2 linked regions of the Styela clava genome follow. The protein of the gene in region 1 purifies or fractionates together with the protein of each later gene. This does not show direct contact. Links are inferred from orthologs where the notes say so. Each region holds a gene or a part of one and is shown on either strand. Other genes may lie near its edges.

Evidence for each region.
Region 2: the proteins of DNA-directed RNA polymerase II subunit RPB2 (region 1) and GPN-loop GTPase 3-like purify together in Homo sapiens (co-immunoprecipitation; 3 studies listed by BioGRID and IntAct, counting the BioPlex papers as one, with this or other methods). This does not show direct contact. The link is inferred for Styela clava from reciprocal best matches to the Homo sapiens genes POLR2B and GPN3.

Annotation. Positions count from the first base shown.
Region 1 is NC_135255.1:20,506,783-20,514,324, reverse strand, and holds the start of DNA-directed RNA polymerase II subunit RPB2, read left to right. Parts: upstream 1-4,467; 5' UTR 4,468-4,491; coding exon 4,492-4,606; intron 4,607-7,542. UniProt on the Homo sapiens protein: Catalytic core component of RNA polymerase II (Pol II), a DNA-dependent RNA polymerase which synthesizes mRNA precursors and many functional non-coding RNAs using the four ribonucleoside triphosphates as substrates.
Region 2 is NC_135263.1:14,651,863-14,659,312, forward strand, and holds GPN-loop GTPase 3-like, read left to right. Parts: upstream 1-4,987; 5' UTR 4,988-5,211; coding exon 5,212-6,045; 3' UTR 6,046-6,841; downstream 6,842-7,450. Other genes in the region: RNA N(6)-adenosine-methyltransferase METTL16-like, read left to right, coding at 6,863-7,450. UniProt on the Homo sapiens protein: Small GTPase required for proper localization of RNA polymerase II (RNAPII). May act at an RNAP assembly step prior to nuclear import.

The DNA of each region.
Region 1 (7,542 bases):
AATTTTGTACTATGCTACACATAACTCCTCTATTTTAGCAAATATACTGTGCCGTAATTGATGCTTACAATTTTTACGCTCTAATGATCAGGGGATGACTTTCAACATCTAAAAAATTGGAAAAGAAATGTAATTCAAAGAAGGTGTTTTTTTAGAAAATTAGATAATGGAAGTTGCTGTTTTATTTAAAATATCCTGATTCTGCATTTAGAATAGGATATATGTTGAATTTGAAAAGTTACATTTGGCAACGAACATATTTTTTCTTGGGTTATAGATAATTTAGAGCAGTAGTTTTATATACCGTTGCCCCTTTACAAAATTGTACAAATCATTATTGCCCTCCATATGCCAATACAAAAATGTGAAGTTACACACAAATTTATCACAGAACAATTAAAAAATTAGTCTAATCTTTGGCCATTGTTGTATTTCAATTGCCTAAAGCAACAAACTTAAATGAAAATCAATAATTTGAAATATTGTTTGTAATCGATTTTCATCCATGTTCAGAGTTCAGACTTTCAAATTTTTCACCTTTGCTCACGTAAAATTGCTTTATATTTATTTGACAAAGTTTTCTTTATCCATGTTGTTCTCAAAAAATTTTTTCATTCATTAGGCTTATGATATTAGGGGGTTTATAAATGTTATAAATTTTTTGATGATTATTCATAAAGTGGGGACAATATTCAAATTACCCGTTGACTCACTTTCACAAATTAACCCCTACTGGCGGAAATTTCCATTGCCCCACTTTTTGTTTATCTTATGTTATTCAATACTTTGCTAGTCCAACGTATCCTAATGGTGGAACAATAACTTTTCATACTGCGCAAAAACATCTGCAAATAGATTCATTTATGCGACTGTTCATATAAAATTTAAAACTGTCCAATTCAAAGTTTTTGTGTGAATTTTTTTATTGTACCTCAATTTAACTAAAACTGATTCATCACTACACTTATATTTGCTCTACTTTAAAAATTTGAATTTTAAAACTGTTTACAACTGACACTGATTATTTTGGAAGATAAAATCAGAAACTACTGTCATTTCTTACTTACCGGTACACTCTATTTGCGAAGTAGCAAAAAGTGTGGATTTTCTCAGTAATGAAATTAACCAGAGTTGAGAACTTTCATCCTGGGAAGATTTCTTTAATTTGTATTCATGCAGTAGCGAAAATTCACCCCCAAAGCAAGTCAAAAGTTATCCCAAAAGTCGAGTTTTACCCTCAGTTGAGAACCCCTGCTCTAGGAAAAGATTATTTCTATTTCTAAGAGATGCTGTAGTATATGCGTGTAGTAGTGAAAAGTGTATATTTTTATGTAGCAAAATTAACCCCCAAGGCGAATTGAATCTCCTCTCCCTAGAGGACAAATTTACCCCGGATACCCTACTCTAGAGGGAAATTTGATTAGTAGCGAAAAGTATAAATTTCCTCTCTCCTCTCCTTTTCTCTCCTGCAAAATTTACCCCAAAGTTGTTTAGTTAACCCCCTTCCAAAGAGATGAATGGAGTCCCAGCTTAGTTTTTCAATAAAAAGCTTGATGTATGTGCTCTTGCTGTAATTTATAATTTTGTCGCACTGTTGATGTTTCCACAATTTTATCTTTGTTCTTGAATTCTTAATTAGCATCTATGAATAATCGTATAAATTTAATTTAAAATAGCCATCACTAGATGGTGTAGTTTGCTATTTTCAAATTTTTATTTGTGTTTCTATTTTATTGATGTCTTTCACTCACCCCTACGTATGTGACACAGAATCTATTTATTATTTTGAAAAATGATTTCCAAATAATTCAAACATGTATATTGCTTGCACTGCAGGAGCACTTTTGCTTTGAGGTAATCTAATGGAATGATGGCTATTTGATTTAAACTCTACCAAGAACTATTAGTCACTGATAATAGCGAAATACAGTAATACGTATATCTTTGCAGATAAGCCGATGCCTCCTGAAAACGGCTCTAAAATGATGAGTTTATAAAATTCATCGTAAATGCCTACCGTACAAATCGTAACTCACACCACCTATCACGGCAAAACGTTGCAGGAGAGAATTAATGAAAATTATAGCCATTTTTGTTATGTTTTGCTTTCATTAAAAACGGTAAGAAGTGTCTCAAAATCCTTCTTATCATCACTGTCAAACCGTTTAGCGCGATCAGAGTTATGCGTGTGTAAGCCGATTTCATTAGTTCCCAATTTTTCTACTTTTAATTGGGAAATTAGGTGTCGTTGCTCTATTATACCCAGCTTCCAATTTTACACGCGATATCTCACGAAAGCGTGGATGAATCTGCTCCAAATTTTGCATATGCATTCATCATACCTCGGATCAGAAGCCTATTGATTTTGGATGAAATATGTCGTATGATTAGCGAGTAATTGATTAATTAGTGATGGGACACAAGGTGTCTATTATACCCAGCTTCGGTTCGTCGCGGCTCCCACTCTCCGGTACAATATTGAGCATATTTTCTCATAATTTGTTCCATTGATTTTTCGCTGATTGGAAAAACTAAATTTAACTTGACTTAGTGAAATACTTGCAGTACTTCTAGATAAAATATCATCTTTAAATCATTGAAGTGTAAAATTGCGGCATCAGGCCTATTCTGTTTGGAGGTAATTATTCTGGCGAGTCCCTGGTTTCGATTATTTATTATTTGACAAAATTTTACTTGACTCGAAAATTTCATTCAAATGCATTTTGTACTTTACTGATTCCTTATCTATTGCCATTCTGATTTCTTGCTCGTAAATGAATTTCTAATTTATGTTTACTTTTTCCTTATTATGTTACAGTAGGGTGTTCATAAAGTCATAAAAATGTTTTCAAATTGCAAAAGGAATTTATCGATACCATTTATAGTTTGTTGGCCATACAGGTGCATAAATGAAGTAAAATAACTTTATAAAACACTGATTAAAATAAAACAAGCCCGGTTAAGATATACTGAGAACTGAATTCATAACAAAATTGAAAATGGTAACAGGACCTTTATGAACACGCCGTATTTGTGGGTTAAATCAGGGCTACTCAACTGTTTTCACTGAAGATTCGCAAACAAAACTTCAAAATTATTGGTGTCCAATCTTTCCAGAAATTATAGTTTAACAGCCTTTATCAACGCGCACTTTCTCGACTAGCTTTGGATCCAGGACGCGATCTACAAGTTGAGTAGCCCGGGTAAGGTTAGGTTGGGGGTTATTATGTAGGTTGGTGTATTTTATATAAGTTCCTATGAGAGTGGTGTATTATTTTTTAAGTGTCAGTAATTTGAATGTTCAGGAATTTAGTTTGAAACTAAGTGCTGATATGGAAACATCAATAATTTATGGAATGTATTCAATATTACACAACTATTCGAACATTGTTATCTAATATTAAATGTGAGACCAGTGAGAAGTAAGCGATATAAATTATGCGATGTTTTGAATTGCCTGTTTCAGTGGTTTCTTCTCTTATCCGCCCGCATTTTGAACACAAAATGATGCAATCTGTTAAAACTAAAAGTACCGTGAGAAAATTTCGACTGGCTATATATGACTAAATTTGTTTGCGTTGCCTAACCCTAACCTGGTACACATACTACGTTCCGGTGTCTGCCATCTTGGTTCACATACCTCGGGACTACCCATTTATGTGCATGAAAAAAAAAACATGTATCGCACTGATGTGCAAATATTGTGAAACTTTTCCTTCCAGTGATCGAACTCTAACAAAGTCGAATTTTCTTTTCAATACGCTGTGATTTATTCAACAGAATTTTAATTAATGTAAAAAAGTTTGGGATCCTTTGGTCAATGCAGACACACCTGGGCAATGTCATTTATGTGTTCTTTGGGACATTTATAACGTGCTGTCAATATAGTTTTTTTTTTACACATGTTCAAGTATCCATTTATCTATGTTTATTTGTGGCCCCACAGTGAAAATAATGTCATGTAGATCTTTTTCCAGGGACGGGGATGGCCTTTCATCGAATCAAACTCAGACCTTTTAATTCAATTTCTGTATTTTTGCGAACTTTCACAAATAAATTTACTGTGCTATATTGTATTTATATCTGGTTTAACATTGCTGTTTGTAGGAGAGGCACCTTTTAACAGGGGTTGTAAGTAGGGATTTTCAGAGAGGAAGGCTCCTGAAATTTCCAATTGTCAAGCTTGCGGGTCTGACCAGAGGCAGAGAAATGTGGGTTAACACCCTCAACTTTCTGTCTACGACCTTTCCACCTAGCTATTCTTTGACAGTGTGGTGTTTTATTTTTTCTGTGTCAAATTATGTTATAAATCCATTAACAGGTGCCTCGCCTACTTTCAGTCACAAATTTCTATATTATTCACACATCACATTCACAAGACAGCTTATTCAATTTTTCGCTTGTTTTTTTGTAGCTTAGAATAAAACCTAGCTTAAAATACGCCGATACAATAATCATTTCATTGCAACGACCTTCAACCTTTGAACCAGGATGTTTCAAGACGATGACCTTGAACTGAGAGATGGGGAAGATGAAGAGGATATCTCGCCTGAATTATGGCAGGAAGCTTGCTGGATTGTTATCAGCTCTTACTTTGATGAAAAAGGTAGGATTTGTATTTTTTCGCAAGTTTTATGCCTCTGCCTTTCATTACTTATCGATCTTAAGATCGGTAAGTATGTTGATAGGTATTTGTCTGTTTGTTTGTCTGTTAGATACACGCGATATCTCACGAAAGCGAGGATCAATCCGCTCCAAATTTTGCATATGCATTCATCATACCTTGGATCAGAAGCCTATTGATTTTGGATGAATTATGTCGTATGATTAGCGAGTTATTGATTAATTAGTGATGGGACACAAGGTGTCACTATGGAGTAAGAGCGCTGTTTTGGGGGATCCCACAACTTTCGATCGATAAGTCTTCGGTCGCTGACCGATATTCTCGTTGAATCCTTGACACTTAAGAACTTCTGTAGCCACTTTGATTAACGGGGTCCAGATCCGAGAACAAAATAGCAGGTGTTTTCAGAACCGGAGGTTGCCTATCACTGCTCTAGCTTTAGGAAGCAATAAAATGTCCAGAAATCGTTATTTCAAGACTTTGAATATTTTTTCCAGATCATGATAGAAACGGACATGGGTGTGGCTATTTGACCAATGATACAGCTTTCCCACTGTATCGTTTAAAGCATTGGTTATCAACCCATTTTTTTCAAGCGGCTCGAAATTTTCTAAAAAATAAATTCTGTAAGATCTCTCGACGCAAATACTAAATGGCATGTAATACTATGTAGGGAACTTGGATATTGTGTATTGAACTGCAGGTCCTTTCTCCTTGTTTACTTTCTACTTCGGATTATTGCTGTTATTAAGTTATATCTTGTATTGTTTGAAGAAGTTAGACCATGATCTAACGAAAGCTCACAAATATACTTACTAATTCGTTGAAAGAGATCATGTTATTTTTACTTATCACTTTAATACTATGTGGCCGCAAAAATGGAATGACTGATATAAAACAAAGTGAAAAAGCTGAGCTAGTTTGCCCTCAGCGTGGTTTTGAAACCTAGTATCTCACAATACAATTACTCCACTCATACAATTACTATTGAGCAACACTTCAATACCCAATATAAAATAAACAATAAAATTTACTATAAAATAAAATTAGTAACTTTTAGATTTCTGTTGAAAAAACGAATGGCCCAAAAAGATTTTTAGGCGACGCAGTTTCGGATCGTGACCAGTAGTGGGATTCAGCTGGTTCGCACCGGTTCTATAAAACCGTCTCGCAGAATTTGATGAGATCAGCGAACCGGTTAGCACTACTGGTTACTGTCAATGACTTTTTGTAACAGAACCGACTAAAAAATATGACTTTTGCGATGGAACCGGCTGACAAAAAAATTGAATCCCACTACTGGGGTGACCCATAGGTTTGGAAACACAGGTTTAATGGATACTGATCATGCAAAGAGATTGTAATTGAAGTTTGCCTAAAAAAATTCATCTATTTTGTATTTGATATATTCATTATGTTTTTTTTCAATCAGGAATAGCTTCCGTAAAAATTTTAGGTTTCCATGTCAGAACAGCTTGGTATTTTAGATTGGTATAGCAGTGCTGTGATATTTGGAAGAAATCCAATGTCAAAAAATGGAATTCACGAAAACACAGATTTGTAGAGTGTATTCACTAATTCACAATACATTTAATCAAAATTCCTCCATTGCTATAATCAGCATTTGCTGAAGTTAGCAAGCTGTCTATTCTACCACTAAACCACGTTGTCTTCTGACCCCGAGGGCAAAATGTAACTCTCAGATCATTAATGTTTTCTCTATAAATATACAGTAACATGATAATATGCTTGGGATTAAAATGGCCAATATTGATCGAATGTTTGAAAATATATTTGATTTTATCTCTGATGTAACATATTGATAAATTAGAGTATTTTCACTCAAAAAAGTATTGTTTTTTTGCGAAGAAATTTGCTCAAAGCAAAGTCGTGCACACACTCAAAAGTAATCAATATCGGTCCATAAGGGCAGTCACGAGCGACCAATGCTAAGGGATTGTGAGATACTGGAACAAAAAGAATTATCGCATAGGCCTATTATATTTAGCCTCTATTAATATACAAAGTTTTGTGCATACTCTGTTTGAAATTATCCATTTAAAATTAAATCTTTTTTTACTTGCGTGCGTTACTAAATATGAAAAGTTGTGCTGTTGAACAAAACCATGTCCATATCATAACTATGCACTTAAAAATTTTACATGTCAAATTAGTAGTACTTGAGAGTGTATTCATATATTTGCCATAAATTTGGTCATTCAAATATGGAACTGTTTATGTGTTAGATTAAAGAAGGTGTGAATGTCCTCAAGTGTTTATACCAGGGGTCGGCAACCTACGGCCCGCGGAGTAATATAATCCGGCCTTCGAGGTTTCATTGAATCATAGTAACAAAACAGCTGTTTTGACGAATATATTCTTTATTCAACATAATTTATTGTGAGAGGTGTGTAGACTAAATTATATTATAATCTAACAAGTATAAAATTCACAATTACGAAGAAAGGTGAAGCTGAGTGTAAAGGGTTTAATGGCGCCGACAATATTCAATTGGAATATTTTGAGACACAATGCAATGAAGATATAAATCTATATTCTATTCGAGAGATGTATCCTTGCTTGATTTTTATTATAAAAAGTATCATCCATTCGGCTTTCAACTTTCTAAAAATATGTGCGGCCCGCCAATGACTTGCAACCCTTTATTTTGGCCCGCGAGCGACAAAAAGTTGCCGGCCCCCTGGTTTAGACCTTTGTAATATTTTTTTTTATTGTCATAATAACTTGAATTATTAACAGAACCCTAAATGTCTGTCATATGCCACCTAATTGAGTAAGGTTGAAGTTCACAGGGGGTTCGTATGTCTTCAAGTTTTTAGACCTCGTTGCAGTTGTGATCTTTTTTTGGTGCTCCCGAAGTATGCGAACCAAGATGGCGGACATCGGAACGAAACATG
Region 2 (7,450 bases), on another chromosome or scaffold:
TTTCTGCGCACACATACTACAAAAAATTAGAGGGAACATTGCTGCCATCTATCTACTGTGAAACTTTTACCTGATTGTGGAATTTTACTGGACTGTGACTTGTATATACTGTACATATACTTTCATTACAAGTTCTTTCATACAAGTTGGATGTGTTTATGTGTGCGTTACTACTGTGTCGAGAGTGAGCTACGGAAACGGAAGTAGATTGACAAGCCTAATAAGCAGAAATAAGACCTGTAGAACCTCTTAACTCTACATTAAGTTACAATATAAGTCGGTTTGTGATGATATATAATATAATTAAAGTATATTCGATCAATTTTTATATTTATTTATGTATTTTAATTGTACTGAAATAACTTTTACTACGTGAGAATTGACAGAAAATTTACGGATTTTTCGAAAGGTTTTATCTTTAAAAATAATCGGAGTGACAGCATTGCGATTGAGCGGAGCCAGTGTTACAAGTACATCTCAAATTTATGGAATTCGCAAAATAGCAAAAATACGGATCAAAACAATATATAAACGGGCAGTTTACCACACATTTTTATGTCTGCGGATTGCCGTGGTGTTTTAGAGTGGCTCTTGTTTTGTCGACTCAACCGCAGTTTAAATTGAAGACAATTAAATTAATAAATCAAGACATTTTGAATATGCCCGTATCGGTCTTTGATTGATTACTTTGCACAAGTGAAAAATCATTTTTCGTTGAAAAAGTCGACTCTTTTTACTAGTGGCGACTGTTCCACGTGGATTTCGAGGCGGTGAAATTATATTTTTGATTTACTAGTATACTTTATAATTATTTTCATTGTATGAACAAAATTTTGTACTATATGGGATTTTATATCAGATATCGAGATTTTTGTAACGGCGATAACGAGTTCGGAAGATTGGAAAAATACGTATCAAAATTAAATACATCAGGCAGCTTATCTCATATTTTTATGTCCACATATCGCCGTGTTACTTTAGTTTGATAATATTTTTATTTTAACGTAAGAAGTCGCAAACGCGAGTTACGTTGTACACAAATAAATTAATATATAAGGACATTTTAGAATCTCGTGGCTGTCATGGATTGAATATTTTACGCGACAGAAAAATCATTATAGGCTTAAATAGGCGGCTTTTTTAACGGGCGCGTAATCACGGTGCTTGTTGCAGACGGCAATGGGAAGTTCCGACTTTTGCAATTCGAATTTTACGAAACGGCGTTAGTGCGCTTTATGCAGAACTAGGAATAGAAACAATAACCTAATACGACTCCTCAAATTTGTTATTTTCTTGTTGGTAGCAAGGGCCGTGGGCTAATTCTCGCGGAATTCAAGAAATTGGCTCTGTGACGCGCAAGGTCCGTGTCTAAGCGAAGCATCCTAGGTACTCGATATATGAGTAGCAAAATGACATTCTAATACTTACAGAATGACATCGACAGATTATTGTTACGTGACGATACACGGCGCGGTGTTTTTAGGTAGGCGGTCCAAGTTCGCCCCCCCAAAATTATGGAAAGTGTCTGCCCTGCATTTGAAGTTCTTAAATCAAGATGATGTGGCTGGTACGTCACTTACGCTTTCTACGAAACCCTCAAATGTGTCGGACTTTGATCCAGAGCAAGCAAATAAGATCTTGCAGCAAATTTTTACTCCTATGGCAAATGATGATAAAGGATTTATGTTGGATCCAAACGTTCCATTCTTATCAAAAGAGAAGCAAGTTCTGTCACCTGCAAAGAATTTTTGAGTGATATTATGCATGATCATAGATTTGATGCAAGTACAAATCAGCATCTTATTCTCTCGAATCCCATTGAAGTTTGAAATGTTCAAACTGAAGTGCCGAAAGTTGGAGGCGCAGTTCTTACCACTTCATGGCAGCTCCTGCCACGAACGAACCGCGGCAACTCTTGCCATGGTTTTATAGCGCTATCCAGTAATCAGTATTAACGGTATATTCACAAATTAATGTACCAGATTTCAAATGGTCATGCGGAATAATATCTACTTAAAGTTAAACCCTACCCTAACCCTAAATTCATCAAAACTGTATCCATAAGAAAACGTTCCAACTTACCCAATTTTTGTCACCATAAGGAACAGCCCTGTCTTTACGGCCCACCTGCCGTGGTTATGGCAGCAAAATTTCACCTGCCATTGGTTTCCAATTTGCTGCCGCGGTAACGCCAGCCTGTCATTGGTTTGTGGCAGCTAAAAAGTCAGTCGCCATAGGTTTGGCCGTAGCGGCCATGGTATGGAAATATCGTCATGGTTTTGCGGCAGCTGCAGACCCCACAGAATACTTAAACCTGCACTTGGAAAGTCGAACCTGTAAACAGGTCAGCAGCTCATGAAATTAAGATTGAGTCACCGGGTACTATAAGAAGCCATACCAAGATGGAATATGGTACGCCGGATCACACTGTTCATGCAATGGCGCAGCTGACGCAAGCTTTACAGGGAGGAATGCTGAATGTAGCAAGCAAGGTTTATAAAGAACATCATGGTAACAAAACGATCCATAGGTACATTTCGTATCAAACAAGACAACAACATAATAACACAAGATAGCGACGTAAAAATATATGGACACGTGAGCATTTTGCCAATTTCCGAAAATAATACCACAGTCCATCGTTCGACATGAAAAACTTCCCACTTTTGCTAAGTAGTAGATCCATCGGCAAACGCCGAGCACGGAATCAGGTGGCGTGCGTTCGCAGAACGTTCGGTCACGTCATAGCAAAGAAAAAAAGAATTCCACAGAGCTAACAGAAATATATGAAATAAATAAAAGTCATGGCCTTCTAGATAGAATTCTCCAACCACTGAAAATTTTGAAGATATTGGTCCAGTAATCAAAGATAGAAGCGACTTTTTAAGTTTTCTACTAGGTGTCCAAAAATAATGCAAAACGATCGCTATATCCACTAACGTGTAACGATGCATAGGTCCACTTCGTGTCAAAAAATAAACATCAATGTGGACAGGATATTCCCAATATTCGAATCCAAAAACGTTCGAAGCAATGGCTGGTAATCACCAAAATTTTTTGTTGCGTTATATTCTCATATTAGTCCCTATTCATTGATAAATTCATAGTTTTGCCCCCGGGACCGGAAAAGTTCAAAAAAATCTTACCAAAATTTTAAATTTTTCCACAATTCTCAATATTCGAACCCAAATAAGTTCGAAAAATCGCAGGAAAGCACCAAAATTTTTTTGGCCCGTTGAGTTCTCATATTAGTCCTCTATTCATTGGTAAATTCATATTTTTGCCCCCGGGACCGGAAAAGTTCAAAAAAATCGGGTATCCCACCAATGTTTTCACAGGAAGCATCGCAGGAAAGCATCAAAATTTTTTTGTTGCGGTGGGTTCTCATATTAGTCCTTTATTCATTGGTAAATTCATATTTTTGCCCCCGGGACCGGAAAAGTTCAACAAAATCGTTGCACAATTCCCAATATTCGCACCCAAAAAAGTTCGAAAAATCGCAGGTAAGCACCAAAAATTTTTTGTCGCGGTGAGTTCTCATATTTGTCCTTTATTCAGTTGGTAATCCATATTTTTGCCCCCGGGACCAGAAAAGTTAAATAAAAAAAATCAATTTGTTTTTTTACCAAAATTTTCAATTCTTGCACAATTCCCAATATTCGAACCCAAAAAAGTTCGGAAAATCACAGGTAATCACTAAAATTTTTTGTCGTGTTAAATTCTTATATTAGTCCTCTATTTAGTGGTAAATTCATATTTACCATGAATCCACGATGAATATTGTAAAAATGTAAATATAACTTCTGTTCCTCATTTTACGATTCATGGCACACCCTGGTATGACACCCGGTAGAATGTTTAAAACATTTGGCTGGAATTTTGCTGGCATTGCAGTGGCGTAAAAACAAAAACAAATGTGATTTCATGTATGTACATTATTCTTCAATACTTTTTTTTTATTTGTCACTTTCTCTTGCTAATAGAACTTTTTTTCAATGGATGATGGTGTTGAATAATGCATATTTTCTGTACTGATGAACACATTTTGTTACCATGAAAACATTTACCGGTACTGCTATTTTATTGCTCCACGAGAATTATTTATTCATTCCCTGTTAATATTTATCAATTTTTGGTTGTTATGCTTTTCATTACACCCAGCTTAAGTAATTACTACCGGTAATTAGTTTTCACAACTTTTTCACTTTTGTGAGAGATTTTCGTTTTCCACTGTGTTATTAGTATTTGTTTTGATACTAACATTAAGTTTGATATCACGACCGCCATACTTACTTCCTTTGTTGTGTTTTCCATCACTAGTTCTTTTTGACAATTCACTTTCTATATTCTTCACTAGCGAATTATTCCACATGTTTTGTAAGCTGTTTTACACTGGTATCTGCAGGCAACACATTACAGCGTTATAAGAAGTGCTGTGACTGATCGTATTAACACGCATCGACCATATTTTGCCATCCCTAATCTGACATGCTTCGACTGTATTTTGCCATCCCTAATTTAACAAAATTAGACCGTATTTCGCCATCCCTGATATGACCTGTGCTACCAACCCCGCACAATTATTCTGATGAACTTGATTCATTATGCAAATATATATAAGGTAAATATGAGTACATCTGTTACCAAAATGAAGTGGAACTAATTCTTAAATTTTATTTTTATGCATTAATTAGAAGAGGGTAATGATACTTGGCATTACAGCATTATGGAACATATAATCTATGATGACACCAAATGGGATATGCAGATATATGAAGTACCCGCTATCATGTGGATACAACTGATCAATATAAATTATGGAAATTGTTATGTGTCATCTGTATGTAATGATTTATATTATTATTTTATTTATCATCAAAGAAAAAAGTACAATATAAGGGTTTCAAACTTGAAATTTTAAATTAATAGGCCTATTATAAAATAAAGTACTGTTTAAAAATTTATGAGCTGGAAAGGATAAATTTTCTTATTTGTGTGATGTATTGGAAATTTATAAATAATTAAAAAACAATTAGATGGTTGGAGCTGGAGCCACTGAAATTGTTGGTAGCTCCATCTAACATTTTAGGCTTGGCTCCAGCTCCACCAAAATGTCACAGCTCCCTGGATCCTCAGCCGGGTTTGAAACATAATGCCGCATTTAATTCAGATATTAGAATACAGATATTGAATATAGTTAAAATTGCCACTATGCCACGTTATGCTCAATTGGTGATGGGACCTGCTGGAAGTGGGAAAAGTACATACTGTTCAATGATGGTGGAGCATTTTTCGGTGCTAAAACGGAAATGTTATGTTGTAAACTTAGATCCTGCTGCAGAATATTTTGATTACCCTGTCGAACTGGATATCAGGGAACTTATTCATTTGGATGATGTGATGGAAGATGAAGAGTTACGATTTGGGCCTAATGGGGGCTTAGTATTTTGCATGGAGTATTTTGCTAAAAATATGGACTGGATTAAAGAATTCATAACAGACATGGAAGAGGATAGCTATTTTCTATTTGACTGCCCTGGTCAAATTGAACTATACACGCACTTACCTGTTATGAAAACTTTAGTAGAAAATTTACAAAATTGGGACTTTCGAACTTGTGGTGTATTTCTCGTTGATTCGCAATTTCTTGGAGAGCCAAGCAAATTCATATCAGGTACATTGTCTTCGCTATCCTGTATGATAAATCTTGAAATAACACATCTAAGTGTAATGACCAAAGTTGATCTTCTTTCAAAACATTCAAAGCGAGATCTTCAAAAATTTTTAGATCCTGAAATGCAAAATCTACTTTTAGCAGACATGTGTGATACATATCATGATAAAAAATATCAAAAACTTACAGAATCTCTTTGTCAAATTATTGACGATTACAGTATGGTCAGATTTCTTCCACTTGATAGATCTGATGAAGAATCCATTAATATAATACTTCAGCATATTGATACAGCTATGCAGTTTAGTGAAGACCAACCTGTTCGTGTAGAAGATTATAATGAAGATAATGAAAGGGATGCAGAAGACTAGGGTTGCTCCCTCTGCTGTCTATCCGGACGAAGCTGGGTATGAGTAATAAATAGGTCACGACCTTCCTGAACACATCCAAAATTGGGACCATCATCAAAAATCTGTGCACTATATTGTTTCACTTACAATTTCGAGGACAAATAATGGTTGATAACAAAGTAATATGGCGGCGAAAGAAGTACACGTCGTAAATGCTTGAATAAGCCAAACAGGTGGTGATATCATTTTGTCAGACCCATAATAAGCGCCTTTTTAGCGTTCTGATTTACTTGTTTTCAGAAGGCAGTGATACAATTTTATATCTTGGGTATATATGATGTTCCATCTTCGCTGAGTCTTTAAAATAGTGTGATTGTGTAACTTTTTCATAATATTTCTATATGTGAAAATTTTATAGAATGGAGTCTCAATTTCTGAGACATTTGAAATGAAATCTTGTGCTGAATGATCCTGTTCTATTGTGAGTTTATTTTATAGTCGTATATTGGAAAGTAATTTTCGCTTCTAGAAGTAGGAATGGCTCCATCGTTTTTTTTAATGCATAATTCTGTTCTTTACAGTATCTTATTTTGTATATTGGTTATCAAAAGGAAATGTGAATCTTTTGTGTTGCGAAATTGAACTTATATCTTGATTTTATCATCAAGATGCCATGTTTTGCATAAAAATCAGCTTCATCTTGTTGAAACTGACTAAATCATGTCTGTAATGGATTGTCTACATCTTTTTACTTTCACGCCATTGATTATATTTCTTGCATTTACATAATCATCAAGTTTTCATATTTTCTTGCAGATTTCATGCACTTTACTATGCTATGGCTTTGAACAAACACATGCACCCAAGGAATGGGTACAAAGATAATCCTCCAGATTTTATTGAACTATCGAAACAGTATCCTGAATTTAAACCATATGTCAAATACAATCCAAATGGAAAGGCATTTGTAAATTTCCGAATTCCGTCTGTTGTAAGAATATTAACAAAATGTTTATTACATAAGGACTTCGAACTTGATGTAGATCTTCCTTCAGATAGGCTTTCTCCTACAGTTCCATCTCGTTTAAATTATATTCTATGGATAGAAGATTTATTGAATGCTACTTCACAGGAATTTACCAAGCAAAGGCATATTGTGGATATCGGCACAGGGTCAGCCTGTATATATCCGTTACTGGGCATGAGAAATAACCCAGACTGGAAATTCACTGCAACTGAGATTGATAGTTTAAACTTCAAAAATGCTGTTAATAACATAGAAAAAAATTCACTAAAGTCATCGATAAAAGTTCTCAAAGTTGACAAAAGTGCTACAACTTCTTTGCTATTACATTTATTCCAAGATGCAAATGATGGATTTGATTTATGTATGTGCAATCCACCCTTTTTCAATGACTCAAGCGAA